4 separate regions of the Mus musculus genome follow, and all the other regions are reported to be linked to region 3. The links are microRNA targets in miRTarBase. Many come from high-throughput screens and were not tested one by one. Region 3 holds a microRNA gene; each other region holds the end of a gene's coding sequence.
What was found. Region 3 holds the annotated microRNA mmu-miR-223-3p (UGUCAGUUUGUCAAAUACCCCA, at 1,206-1,227, opposite strand). A microRNA usually pairs through its seed, bases 2 to 8, with sites in the 3' UTR of a target mRNA and lowers its output. Matches are read on the target gene's strand: a 7mer-m8 pairs with bases 2 to 8, a 7mer-A1 pairs with bases 2 to 7 and ends in A, and an 8mer does both.

Region 1: miRTarBase lists Fam78b as a target of mmu-miR-223-3p. The part of its 3' UTR that is shown has no 7-base or 8-base seed match.
Region 2: miRTarBase lists Cyb5b as a target of mmu-miR-223-3p. The part of its 3' UTR that is shown has no 7-base or 8-base seed match.
Region 4: miRTarBase lists Dnajc9 as a target of mmu-miR-223-3p. The part of its 3' UTR that is shown has no 7-base or 8-base seed match.

The regions. Positions count from the first base shown.
Region 1 is chr1:167,078,496-167,081,646 of GRCm38, reverse strand. It overlaps Fam78b (family with sequence similarity 78, member B), which reads right to left. Exons shown (of 3, transcript NM_175461.4): 2 at 2,180-3,110. The coding sequence ends at 2,588. It overlaps Gm33610 (a long non-coding RNA gene), which reads left to right. Exons shown (of 5, transcript XR_865715.3): 5 at 2,115-2,195. Among named protein-coding and RNA genes, the nearest start is that of Gm33610, 25 kb to the left of the region's middle.
Region 2 is chr8:107,183,069-107,186,219 of GRCm38, forward strand. It overlaps Cyb5b (cytochrome b5 type B), which reads left to right. Exons shown (of 5, transcript NM_025558.5): 5 at 510-3,151. The coding sequence ends at 600. Among named protein-coding and RNA genes, the nearest start is that of 4930517G24Rik, 21 kb to the right of the region's middle.
Region 3 is chrX:96,240,960-96,244,110 of GRCm38, reverse strand. Mir223 (microRNA 223) reads right to left here and starts at 1,294; the gene lies at 1,185-1,294. It overlaps F630028O10Rik (RIKEN cDNA F630028O10 gene), which reads right to left. Exons shown (of 3, transcript NR_030718.1): 3 at 469-3,073.
Region 4 is chr14:20,382,648-20,385,798 of GRCm38, reverse strand. Dnajc9 (DnaJ heat shock protein family (Hsp40) member C9) reads left to right here. Exons shown (of 5, transcript NM_134081.5): 5 at 321-1,161. The coding sequence ends at 437. Fam149b (family with sequence similarity 149, member B) reads right to left here. Exons shown (of 14, transcript NM_001024512.2): 14 at 2,308-2,882. The coding sequence ends at 2,815. Among named protein-coding and RNA genes, the nearest start is that of Dnajc9, 4.7 kb to the left of the region's middle.

The DNA.
Region 1 (3,151 bases), not on the chromosome of region 3:
GGGAATACAGGTTAATCTTCCCACCAGAGACCTCAAGGTTAATTCTGTCCTACAAGAGATCCTTTTTGCTTGACAATGTCCTGACTAAACTAAAAGTCAATGATCCACAGATAGTGAAAAAAGGGGCCATCTCCTTGTAAAACAATGATAATTTTAACATAATTGGCTATTGGGCAATTGAGTGTTCTGGCAGGTTGATTTCAGAAGTGAGAGACCCAACGGTAGGGTTTGCAGAAGAGACACACAACAACGGTAAAGCACATTTGCATAGTTTAGCTTTTAGGAGTCCCTTCTCATATATTTTTTTCCTCAATTTTTATTACCTCATTCTCCAGGAAACTGCCTTGGGGTAATTTATTTTAAAAATCTGAATTGATTCTTTTTAAGGAAGAATAAGTCTAGGTAAGCATACTGCACCTTGCTTTTAACTATAGACAAGGCTTTGAAAAGCTATATTATATGTAAATATAAGTGTGTGAGTCATATCTTAACGTGCTAGGAACATTTAAAGACTGAAACCTTCCATAGAATTTTTAATATAAACTTATTCATCTGTTCTTACAATTTTAGATGTAAAAAAAAATCAGATTTTCTTAAAGTGGGGCTACATGGCTTAGATTCCAAGATCAGCATCCATTGACCCAAATCTCATAAAAATGGCATCTGATTCAATGTGAGGGAGAGACTGCTGCTTCTGATGTTAGCATGGAAAATAAGCAACTTTACTCTTCAATCTGTAGGTCTCTGAGGTCAGCTGCCATTAAAAAGTAGGGAAGCATGGGAAAGCCAAGTTAGGAGCTGACTTATTTCCAGAGTCTTTGCCACTCACCGATGTTACCAATGCACCATTAATGTGTTGCTGTAACTAACTTGCCATCAGTAACTAATCTAGGTGAAAGAAGCCAATGGTTGGAATGTGAAGTTAGTGCTATATTGCTCTGAGTAGCATCCTTTGGGATCAGAGCATGAAGGAAATTAGACTACAGTGCATGGGAAACAAGAGTAATGAGAAAGGTTTGCATTCTCTGTCCCCAAACTCTGGAAGATTTGGAGTCAATGACAGGATTTGTATAATGGCCCTGAACTTGGAAATCTCTCACCTCTGAAATTAGGCTTAAAAAAAATCTACTTACTCAGTATACACCATTGTGAGACTTCTGTAGTCAGTTTACACGAGTTGTTTCTCAACAAGAAAGGATGCACCTCACAATCGGCACCGCTGAGAATAACAGGGGAAGCTCTTCAGTGAGGGTGGGGCGGGGCATGGTGACTTAGGTGGAAAGGGTTGGAAATCTTACCACTGTAAACACTGGAAACTCTTTAAAAAGTTTTGCACTGCTGGACTAAAGGGAAATTGCTTCTCATCTTTATTGGCTGGATCTCAGCAACCCAAGATTGCTTAAGGCTCAGACGTTCACTAAAGAAGTCTGAACATTTCTTATCTACAACTGGACAAGCAGTTGACGTTGAATTTTTGTAAGTATAGCTGAAGTTAACCTATGTGGGCATACAGTGTGTGTACTATTTGTGCTTAAAGGCCATGAATGAATATTCAGGCACTATCGGCAAGACTAGTTGTTATTCTTTCTAAATCCTGGTGTGTGAGCACCCGGGTGTGTGCACAGATGTGTGCCCTTCCTGTGTCTGAACAATTCAGAAACTCAATATTGAGAATGTTGTTCTCATTGGTTGAGACATTCCCTACACCCTACATGAACACGAGGCTTATACATCTTTGTGAATTGAGGGCTGGCGATAAGAATCAGTGGCTGTAAACAAAGTCACAGATTGAGTGACTAAAAACTCAAGAGAGACCCAACACCATAATCACTACAGAAAACAGGAACTGTATATCCAATACCGTAACTAGCAACACTTAGAATGAGCAATCTCTTTGGAAAGAGGCGAGTGAGTGGATGCGAGCAGCCAGTCTCCACTGGGGGCTGCTGACGTCAGCACCTCGGACAGTTCCAAAACAGCTTTTCCCTCAAAGGGCACAACAGAGTTTTGTTTTCTAAGTGTCCCTCTCATTCCAGGGGGTGTGTTGACAATCTGACCACCAGCTAACACTTGTCATTAAACTGTAGTAACACCTTCTTTTCCTCTCTCCCCAGAACCCAGGATCTTTCACCCAATTCCCCAGCACCCTCCAGTCACACAAGGAGACTGTCTTACGAACACCTGGTGTGGATGTTTTCACTCTCGCTTCTAATTGGTTGGGAAGCAGCATCTGCCACAGGCACCGTTTAGTTTCATTTCCATCCCCTGCGTCTCACAGGAAAGAAATGGTCAATAGTTCAAATAAAAGAATCGTCCTGGTCAGCTCCAAAATATGGCTACTTGCACGGTAATCAGAGCAAGTCTATCAAATCAGTGGTTTCTTTATTCCTAAGAGGAAGGGGCTTTTCCTAAGGGTTATGGTTCTACCGCCCAAGGAACAGCTGTACTCATCACAAGTAGCTGCAAAGGCTGGCACACCAAGAGGGTCTGCTTTGGCTCAGAAACTCAGTTTGGCTCCTGCCACCCCTGGTCACCCCACTGCGGGTCTCAGTGGCATGTGTTCCACACACAGTTGGGCAGTCTGCTTTTACTTAGGAGGTATCACAACCAGAGGTGGTCCCCGCTTGGGCCTCCACATGAGGACCTGGGCATCGTTGGCATTGGGCTTCACTAGTGCGTTAGGGGGGATGGGCTCCATCCGGCTCAGGATCCGGGGCTGCTCCTGCTGAGTCCTGCCCACTAGCCGGGCCCGCTGCCCCAACAGCTGAAGAGGGTCCACTTCAATGTCCACTCTCATCCTCCATTTGATGGTCTGCAGTATGATCTTTTCCTTGGTGGTGGTGTTCATGGCCACCAGCCATGTGGTAAAACTTTGGTCCCTCTTGATCCTTGTGAGCAGTGGCACATTGCTGTCACTCACTGGCACTGCCCATGTCACGCTGGGGTAGAAGTTATCATTCATGCTGACGGAGAACCTGGAGATCTTGTTGGTGGGGCCAACCAGGGTCACAGTCTCTGTCGTGTTCCCGTACCATGGGTAGCTCACCCCGTCTGAGTCACTGATGGCTTTTACTCTCCCTTCCCTCAAGTCAGGCAGTTCCCAGCTTGACCTGGAAAAGCAGAAGGGATACACGAGAAAAGAAGAGACTCA
Region 2 (3,151 bases), not on the chromosome of region 3:
CCTTTTTTTTTTTTGAATTTTTTTTTTTTTTTGAGAAGTGTCAACTGTGTGGCCTTGAACTCTCAATAGATTTACGTGCTTTTGCCCCCCAGAGTACTGGGATTAAAAGCACACAACCATGTCTTGCATATCAGATTCTTTTTATTTTTAGCATCTTTTTTTAAAGGGGCTCTTTAGGGCCCTGCAGGTTAGCTTAACAAGAAGACCCCTGCCAAGTCTGCTGGTTTAAGTTCTCATGTGCTAGAAAGAGAGAACCAACTCCTACACGTTGTCCTCTGACCTCCACAAATACATCATGCCTGGGCACTTGTTTGCACATACACAAATAAATGTAGACTTGGCTTTGTTTTTCCTTTCAAATACTCTATGGTAAAAGCAATTAAATTAAGAGAAAAATCAAGATAAATCAAGACCCCTGTCTCATGTATATTAAACATAAGCGCTGAAAAACATTCAATTATTTGCTTAGAATATTCTTAACATACTGCTTTTTCTTCCTTCTTTTCCAGTTCCTGGGCGTATTGGTTTGTCCCCATCGTGGGCGCTATTCTTATAGGTTTCTTGTATCGTCACTTCTGGGCTGACAGCAAATCCTCCTGAGGAGACCTCGTTGAAGTGCGGAGCACGTGCTCCTGCGATGAGAGGAGGAGACTTGTGTGGAGGCTGCAGGGTGTTCCCTCCTTGGAACCTGCCAGTTGTTTTCTTTCCCCTTGGAGCCAAGATGGTTGACCAGATATCTATCCTCCTTCAGTGTACGACCAGAGTCTTTCATCCGCCAGAGCCTGACGCCCAAAGCACCTGCTCACTCTGTGTCCTTGCCAGGGTTTCTCTCATTGGTTCCCACTCCTTCCTTTCATTTCAAAAGTTGATGCCAATGACTTAGAGTTCCTATGTTGTAGTGACATGGCCTTTGGGGACAGTACATGATTTCTCATAATTTGAATTCATAGTAGATATAGTTAAGGGAACAGCAGTCAGGTTATGAATCTTTTCCCATTTTTCTTTTTAAGTAAATTTATTTTTTTAATTCTGATTTAATTTTGTCATTCATCATAAGGGATTTAATTCATGAAGTTGTGTGTATCTTATTTCAAACACAGCTGCCAGATGATCTTATTTATGATTGTTAGAAGTAAGGGGCCAGCAAGATGGCTCAGTGGATAAAAGCAATTGCCGCGAAGCCTGATGACCTGTGTCTGAGTCACTGCACTCACAGGATAGAAAGAACCGATTCCCAAAAGTTGTCCTCTGACTTCCACATGTGTGCTATGGTCTTTGCACACACACGCACACACACACACCCCAGATGTTATTTTTAAAAATGAAGTACAGCAACAGTGGCTATCTACCCCTGCCCCCTCCAGACAGTGTAGCTGATGGCTCCTCCTGTCTCTAAGTCCCGCCTCTTTTCCCAAAATACTTCACAAAGTGTGCATCCCTTTGATTTCTTAGGAATCTAAGAGCTGAAGAAGGACTGACTTCAGAGTAATCTCTTTTACAAAGAGAACCAAACACTACTTACAGGAGAGCAGTTTAAAAAGGGACCAACATGCGCTCTCTGGTCTGACACTGGTTTCTAACCATCTTCCACCCTGGCTGTCTTTACCAGTGAAAGATGTGTGTGTGTGCTTACCTTCTATACACTTCTCTCCGGTCCGTGGGGCTTCACAAAGGCCTTTCTGCTGTTTTTCTTTACCGATTAGCAAATTTCTGATTCCTTGTCTTAAAGTACAAGACTCAAGTTTGAACTTATGTTTATCTCAGTAAAATAACTTAGATGTAAATGTCATTGTCCGGCATGCCCCTTCAGATTGGGAGACCATGCCAAGAGACTTCGGTTTTCATCTGGGTTTTACCTCCATGGCGCCAACTTTTGGTTTTGTCCTACTTTCTATTGAGGGTAATGATAAATCTGGAAGCTTTCTTTCCTCTTGGATATGAATTTCACTGGAAAGTAGGCAGTCATTTAAAATTCCTTCTCTCGTTGGTCCAGGCATTTTCCTGGCACCTCTGACTGTATTCTCTCTCCCTGTGGCAGTGCCTGACAGTACCCAGCTGTTTCTTAGTTTCTATGATCTTTCTTCACATCTTTGTTCATTACCAGTCAGCTTCTGGGCTGGTGTCACATCCAGCAGGAAACCATGGGATTCCAGCAGGACCAGAGATGTTGGGAAGTGTCCTCCTGCCTCCCTTCCAGCTTGCCAGGGGCTTGACAGGACAGGAAACTGCACAGTAAACCAGTCTGCCCGTGTAAACTATTTTTTAAAAAGTTCAGTCCAGGACTCGTATCCTGTGATTTAGCAGTTGAATGAATTCAGAATTCATCAAAATAACATTAACCTTTTCCTTACACACTTGAATATGATATTTTAGAGTGATTTCTAGGTGACTTTTATGTCAGAGATGAAGACTTAATCAACCATTCGTCTTTAGAAACGTCTGTAATATTGTGTCATAGATTGACAGCGTAATTAGTCTGTAACAAAAGCGGCATGCGGCGCGCATCTCCAGGTAAAGGCAGGGAAGGTTGTGTGCAGGGAGCCCGGGACCTGCATGCTGGGATAGCGAAGTCACATGGAGTATGCTGGGTAGAAGGGAAGAACAAAGGAACATTGAGTGCAGGACAGGAGCGTCCCAGCTAACTCCAAACTTGATGGGACACCTAGTGAAAAACATCTGGCTTGTAGGAAATGTTAAAGAACTGCATTTTCGGCTGGGCATGGTGGTGCACACCATTAATCCCGATGTAGGAGAGACAGAGGCTGCAGAATCTCTGAGTTGAGGCCAGTCTGGTCCACATAGTAAGTTCCAGGACAGTCAGGCTACATAGAGAGACCATGTCACAACCACTCCACCAAATAAAAGAACTGTATTCTTAAGTAGAATCGGTGTTTTGATATTTCTACAGTAAACATCAATACCAAAAGCCGTTTTTTCTATTTCACATTTGTGTCTTTCCCAGCTTCTTATAGCTGAGCTTTTTCTCCCGAGAGCCAGAAGGAAAAGATTTTCATACTTTTGTCTTTGCGATCCATGAAATCCGTCAATACCCAGGGCTTCTTTTGAACTACTGATAATGTAATGTCATTTTATATTATATAAAAAGGATGCTTTTTTTTTTTTAAATCTTTAATCCCAGCACTTGGGAGGC
Region 3 (3,151 bases):
GGTGAAAAGTTAAAGAATGAAAGTAGGTATCTCCAGAACCAAGGGAGAGTATGGAATTTCTCCAGAACCAAGGGAGAGTATGGAATTTCTCTAAAGAAGCTTGCCAAAATATATGTTATGAAATGTTAGACTCTGGAGAGAGGGATTGGAGATGCTTCATTTTATAGTTCTATATTAGAAGTTCACCCCAGTGCAATGATAGAATATTAAAGGCTCAGAAAATTCTGTTTAAAAAGACACGTGTAAACCAATAATTCAAAAAATTTTTCCCTCTGAGTCTATTCTTTCTTCTTGCCCTCCTGCCCCAGACCTAAATCTTATTTCTCAGAGGAAAAAAAAATCCATTTTGGTTACCATCTTGTATACACTATAGCATTAGAATACCCACAGTTTGATTTATTTTTTTCGCAAAACCCTGGTTGGTATTTGACCTATATAGCAAAAGGTTATTGACTAGTAAAACATCAATTAATTGGTAAATATTTATTAATAATTAAAATGTTGGACAATGGTATGAGAGACAGCAATCAACTGAATATAATAAGCTCTAGATTCTTACAATATAATAGGGAATTCAAGAACATACCCTGGAAAAATTCACTGACAACTTTAGAAGATGTGTTGGATGGTAGGACATATAATAGCACATACCAGTATGTGGTTAGCCAAGGAGTAAAGAAAAGTATAGGTTAACTTTCAATAGTGCCAAGAGGAATTGGAATTTGGTAGTGTCTGAAAGCCCAATGAAGATAAACAAGAAGGTTCTTTTAAGAATGATAAAAGCAAAGTGGAAAAGAGAAAATGTAGGTAGCTTAAGATGTGCTCCGAAGGCCAGACAGTGGATATTTATTTCCTACTTTCTCATAGAATTCATGATGCTTGTATGAAAATTCTGCTATTCTGGCTGCAAGAAGAGGAAAGTGAAAGAAGACATTAATAATAAATCAAATAATACTCTCATTCCCTGTATCCCTCATGTACCACTATGCAGTCCATGGCATTTTCACAATGTACACAGATGCATACCAGACTTGTAGACCCCAGAGCTGCATCGTTCCTACTCTGATGTTCTCTGAATAAATGTTATAGTTCCCTTAAAGACATAGAATAACACCAGAGAGCTTCATGTTTCATAAGCATTCATATGTAGGCAGCAGGCTATGTGCTCTGTCCTGGACCTGGAGCTGATAGGCATGAGCCACACTTGGGGTATTTGACAAACTGACACTCTACCACACAGAGTGTCCAACTCAGCTTGTCAAATACACGGAGCGTGACACTGCAGATGGCCAGATCAGGAACCTCCACTGGGCAGCAAGAACATGCTGGAAGATGTGCAACTGGAAAGAGAAAAAAATAGGGTGATTATATCTTACCCTAAGTGTGAGACAAATGGCAGACACTAACATGACTGACTAAGACACACCAAAAGAGGGAAGTGAACAAAACACGCTAATGCTCCAAACAAAAACGGGGATCCTGGGTGTTTGTCTGGAGATTCTGGTGGCCCAAGCCTCAATTAACTCTTCTATTCAGCTGAAACAGGAAAAAATTGTCATCATTCTGTCCTCGGGGACAATTTATGTGTTCCTTCCTCCTATCAACTTCTTGTATGCTCTGTTTACCCTGGTTATGTACCTAGATGTTGATTTTTAAAACTGGATTTGAATTCTACCTCTACCATTAACTAGCTGAACACCTTAAATAAATGAGTTTATGTCCCTGAAACCTACTTCTTCCATAGCCACAAAAATGCCCATGAAATCATGGCAAGAATATGTAATAATGCATATAAAGCCATTAATTTAGTGTTTGTTACCTAACAAATACTCAAAAATTGTGGCTATAGCCAGGTATGATAGTACATGTGTGCATACAAGCTTTCATAGACAGAGATAGGAGAACCTCAGATTTAAAGTCAATTTGGGCTATATAATACTACCCTTTCTCAAACAAAAAAGTAAACAATCAAGATCTAGAGATAAAACTCAGTAGCAGAACACTTACCTAACTTGTACAATACTCTGTATTTGATCCCCTGTACATAAATAAAAGTGACTAAAATGTGCTTTAAAATTAAACATATAAGATAGATACTAACAGGGGAAAAGATAGATAATTTATTTAACAGAATTGAAACAGTAATTTCTTGTGGCCTTAGCCGGCTTTGTCTAACTTGGTTGCCTTTTCTCATAAGCAGTAAAGAATTAATGATATTAAAATGCCCTTATAAGTCATCTAGTTTTACCCATTCAAGATTATAAATGAGAAAATGAAGTCTGATGTTTAGGGAAAGACTTCCAAAAGGTCATAAAACAAGTTGTTTACAGTTTGGGAATTATATCATCCATCAGCTCATTGTGTCCCTTGGCTGTCCACCCCACCACTTTTTCTTGTCTGCTTTTTATATTCCCTTGCAAAAGGGAGAGCAACAGCAACAAAGAGCAAAACAGGCAGTGGATTTTGCAGGGAAGTATTAAGATGTTTGAACTCATAGCTACCAGGGCAGCTGCCAGAAGAGCCAAGCCATCTCAATTTATTTGATATTTTGTTTAGCATCATGATCCTGTTATTCAAAATGCTTGATAGTATCAAATTTTGTCCTACCCAGGTTTAAAGTTTTCTTGGGCATCAATTGTCTTCTCTAGAAATAGAGACAGAAATCTTACATCTCAAGGTCTTGAAAAATGTTGGATGAGACTTCTAGAGCTTTTTAGAAGGGAGCTTAAAGAGACCTTATTTCCAACTCTGGAGCTAGTAAAAGCCAAGGAAAGTGATTAAAAGAGAAAGGAGTAATGGGTTATTGGTTTTGGTTTTCTTGACAGCATCTCTGCTTATCATCTGCTGTAAGGAGAGCTAGACACTTTAGAGATATCCATAGCCTCTCAATTGCCCTATCCGACCTCACATAACCCAAGAACACTGGAAAAGAGCCATGAAAGGGGCTAAAGAGTTCTAGTGCACTGACTTAATAGATTATTATAAATACTGTTTTCCAGGATTGATGGAGAAGTCAGTCCTTAAGCTGGGTAAGGGACTATTTCATTTTCATTCTTGATGTTCCAGTTCACACCTATTCAGAGGAATACATATAAGAGAAGCAAGTTTAGTTGATTAAAGTTAGTCAGACCCATAAGAATGAAGACATAGA
Region 4 (3,151 bases), not on the chromosome of region 3:
TAAAGGTGGCAGGCTCCCCTCACAGGCCCCTCTCACAGTTATTTGTACACTGTTTGGAATGTATTTCAGGATTTTTTTGTTTTTGCTTTGTTTTTCCTTTAAGGTACACTTACACATAATTTATAGCATCTTTTTGGGGTTTGAGAATGTACAAGTCAGAGAATTGCCACCCCCGCTCCAAGCTGTACAGCTGTCACCACCACAGAGGAAGCCCGTAGCCATTGTTAGTCACTGGGGTGCTTTACTCCAACCCCTCCTAATGATGAAATGCTTTGTCTCAGTGTTGCATATTGAAAGCTATATTTTAACTTCTCAAACAGAGCAGACAAAAGGATCGGCAAAAGGAAATGGACAGTTTTCTGGCTCAAATGGAAGCAAAATACTGCAAACCTTCCAAAGGAGGGAAAAGAACAGCACTCAAGAAGGAAAAGAAATGATGGAGTTTTTCTCTTCCTGAGTCCTTATGTGTCAGTGGTACAGTGTAGACAAAATGATGACAGCCATTAATGTAACCTTTGAGAGGAGTTGTCTGTCCCGCCTAAGCCGAGCAGGGTTCATCGACCTGATCTTAGTAGTTTCTAGAATTCGCCTAACACTGTGTGAGGGTTTCATGTGAAGGATGTGTAGTGGTGATAGTTGGGAGGGTGGGTCTGACATTTGCTTTTGTGGGCCCCTATTTAGAATATTAGTTTCTCTTGCTGCTGTGCATGCACTGACGAGAAACACTCCACCTATGGAGAACATCCTCAGAACACTTGCTGAACCGCTGACTTCTAAATAAATGCTACCGTGCTTTTGGGTCTTAATCCTACACGGATCTTCTTTTCTTGGTCTACTGTTAGGTTTTGTCTTCTGTCCTTGCAGTAGGAGACGTCAGTGTTCATATTATTGCAAACTTTTCATAAGACTGTATATGCTAAATAAAGAAGAAATGACAAAGGTCTGGTGGATTATTTAAATGACTCCATTGGTCTATGAAGATAAAGTGTTTTATTTAAAGGACTTAAGTAACCTAGTCAGCATTGTAACAGACAGGCTGGCTTTGGCACACATCCTGTCTTTGCAGGTCACAGGCTTAGGCATTTCACTGGCCTCTTTTGAACTTTTTATCTACAAGAGTGAGAGCCAAATTCATTAAATTGCATTTATTAAGTACAGCAGGATTTTTATGTGTTTTGAACTGTTTTGTGTGGCTTCAGATGAGTCTCTCTATGTAGCTCTAGCTAGCCTGCGATTTGCTATGTAAACTATAATCAGGTTTTTTGAAGATGAATACTAACTAGCTTTAAGGGGACACATACACAAAAGGGTAAGGAACTAGGCTAATGACCTGAGGGTACTCTGAGTCATAGCTGCTCAGAAAGGCCACGAATGTAGATCTGATAACAGTGTATTCATTGTACAGACTTCTGAGAAAGATGCTCATTACATCTTGAGTTGATAACTGTTCACTATAGTATGTGGTATATTTGTTAAGACTGTTCAAGTCTTCATTTGTATCGTGCAAGTAATAAGCCTCTTTCCATTGAGCATTATAATTTAAGGTGGACACATCACACATTTAGTTTGTGATCACAAGTACAATAGAAGTATTTAATATATAACTCAGTGTGGGTTATTTGAAACATCTATTTCATGGCATAAGAACTTGGAATGGTTTAAGTCACCTTCAGTGGACAACCATTTGAATTTAGCCACTTTGAAAATCAGTAATGTCAAAGTGGTGTGATAATTAAGGCAATAGTGGCATTTTAATAAGACAGACTCAAGCCACAGTTAACACCACTGCTGCGTTCCCAGCGCTTGAGGAGCTGTTGGTGCTACTAGAGGAAGCCCTCCAGTTCCACTGCTCTTTGAATGGAAAACTGGCTCAGTGAAGTGCTTACAAGTATGAAGACCGAGTTCATACCACTGACAAAGCAAAACAAACCTGTCTTTGCGCACAAATGAGGATCTCCAAGTTCAGTGAGAGATCCTATCTCAAAACATGAGAAACAATTAGGAAGGGCACCCAGTGATCTCTGGCCTATACATGCACGCACACACAATTGCAAACATGAGCACACAAACCTGATGTGAGGCTGATCTAGGGAAGAAACATTAGTTTACACCAGTGTTGACACCTTTAGTTAGGTCTTAATTCATTCTGCTTTTTAACGAAAAGGCTTGGCTAGCAAGGTTGTTCATCAGATAAAGGCACCGATCCCATTCCCACCCCGCCAAGTTCGATGATCTTAGTTCAGCACTGACTATACTCCTCCCCGCCATTCATACACACAAAAATACATCTAAAATGTAATAAAGAACTTAAAGTTTAGGAATGACATTTATTTGATGAATATATCAGATTGTTGGCAGCACTTTCTCCTAAAAATATGTTAAAACTGAGTGCAGTTCTCCAGGAATCAATATAAACAGAAATATTCTGAACCCAGTGATCTGAATCATTTGTGTGTATGTAATCTCACTGAATTGTACAAGAATTGAACTGGTGATTAGTTACAGACAACATGAGCAGTGATTTGGGGTGGTTTTCCATTGTCAAGTCTTTGGGTACAATCTTTACTGCCCCATGGAGTAGGTTAACTAAAGCTGAAAGAAGACAGTAACTGCATGCAGAACAGTTAGTTACCAGTGCAGTCTTTGGCAGATACTCTGTAGTATTTCTCGGACACTTGTACCAAGATAACTTGACGGACCAAGCTGCTGTTTGCAGGAGCTGTGCATCATCCGGTGCCTGAATGCTGGGGCATGAAAAGCCTCCATGTGCTCCCAAGTCTGCTGCAACCTTGCAGGTTCTCACTTGCCCTGTGGTCATTGCCTGGTTCTAGAGATGGGTCCACCTCTGCTCTGAGGTTTTGTAGACCCATGTGACTGAGGACCTGTCGGATACAGAATTGCACAGAATAACAGTAAATAGTCTATATTTGATAATAAAACATCACATGCCGTGGACTTTTACATAAAGTAGTAGTTGGATGTTAAAGTTGGATATGGTCTCTAAGTACTGAGAAGTGTGTATTCACCAAGACATTAAAAACCATGTTTACACAGTTCACCCTATTTAGAAAACTGCTAGAGTCTAAGAAGTAAAAGAAAGCTGAGTGTGGTGTCACATACTTTTAGTCTCAGCACTGGGGAGGCAGAGGCA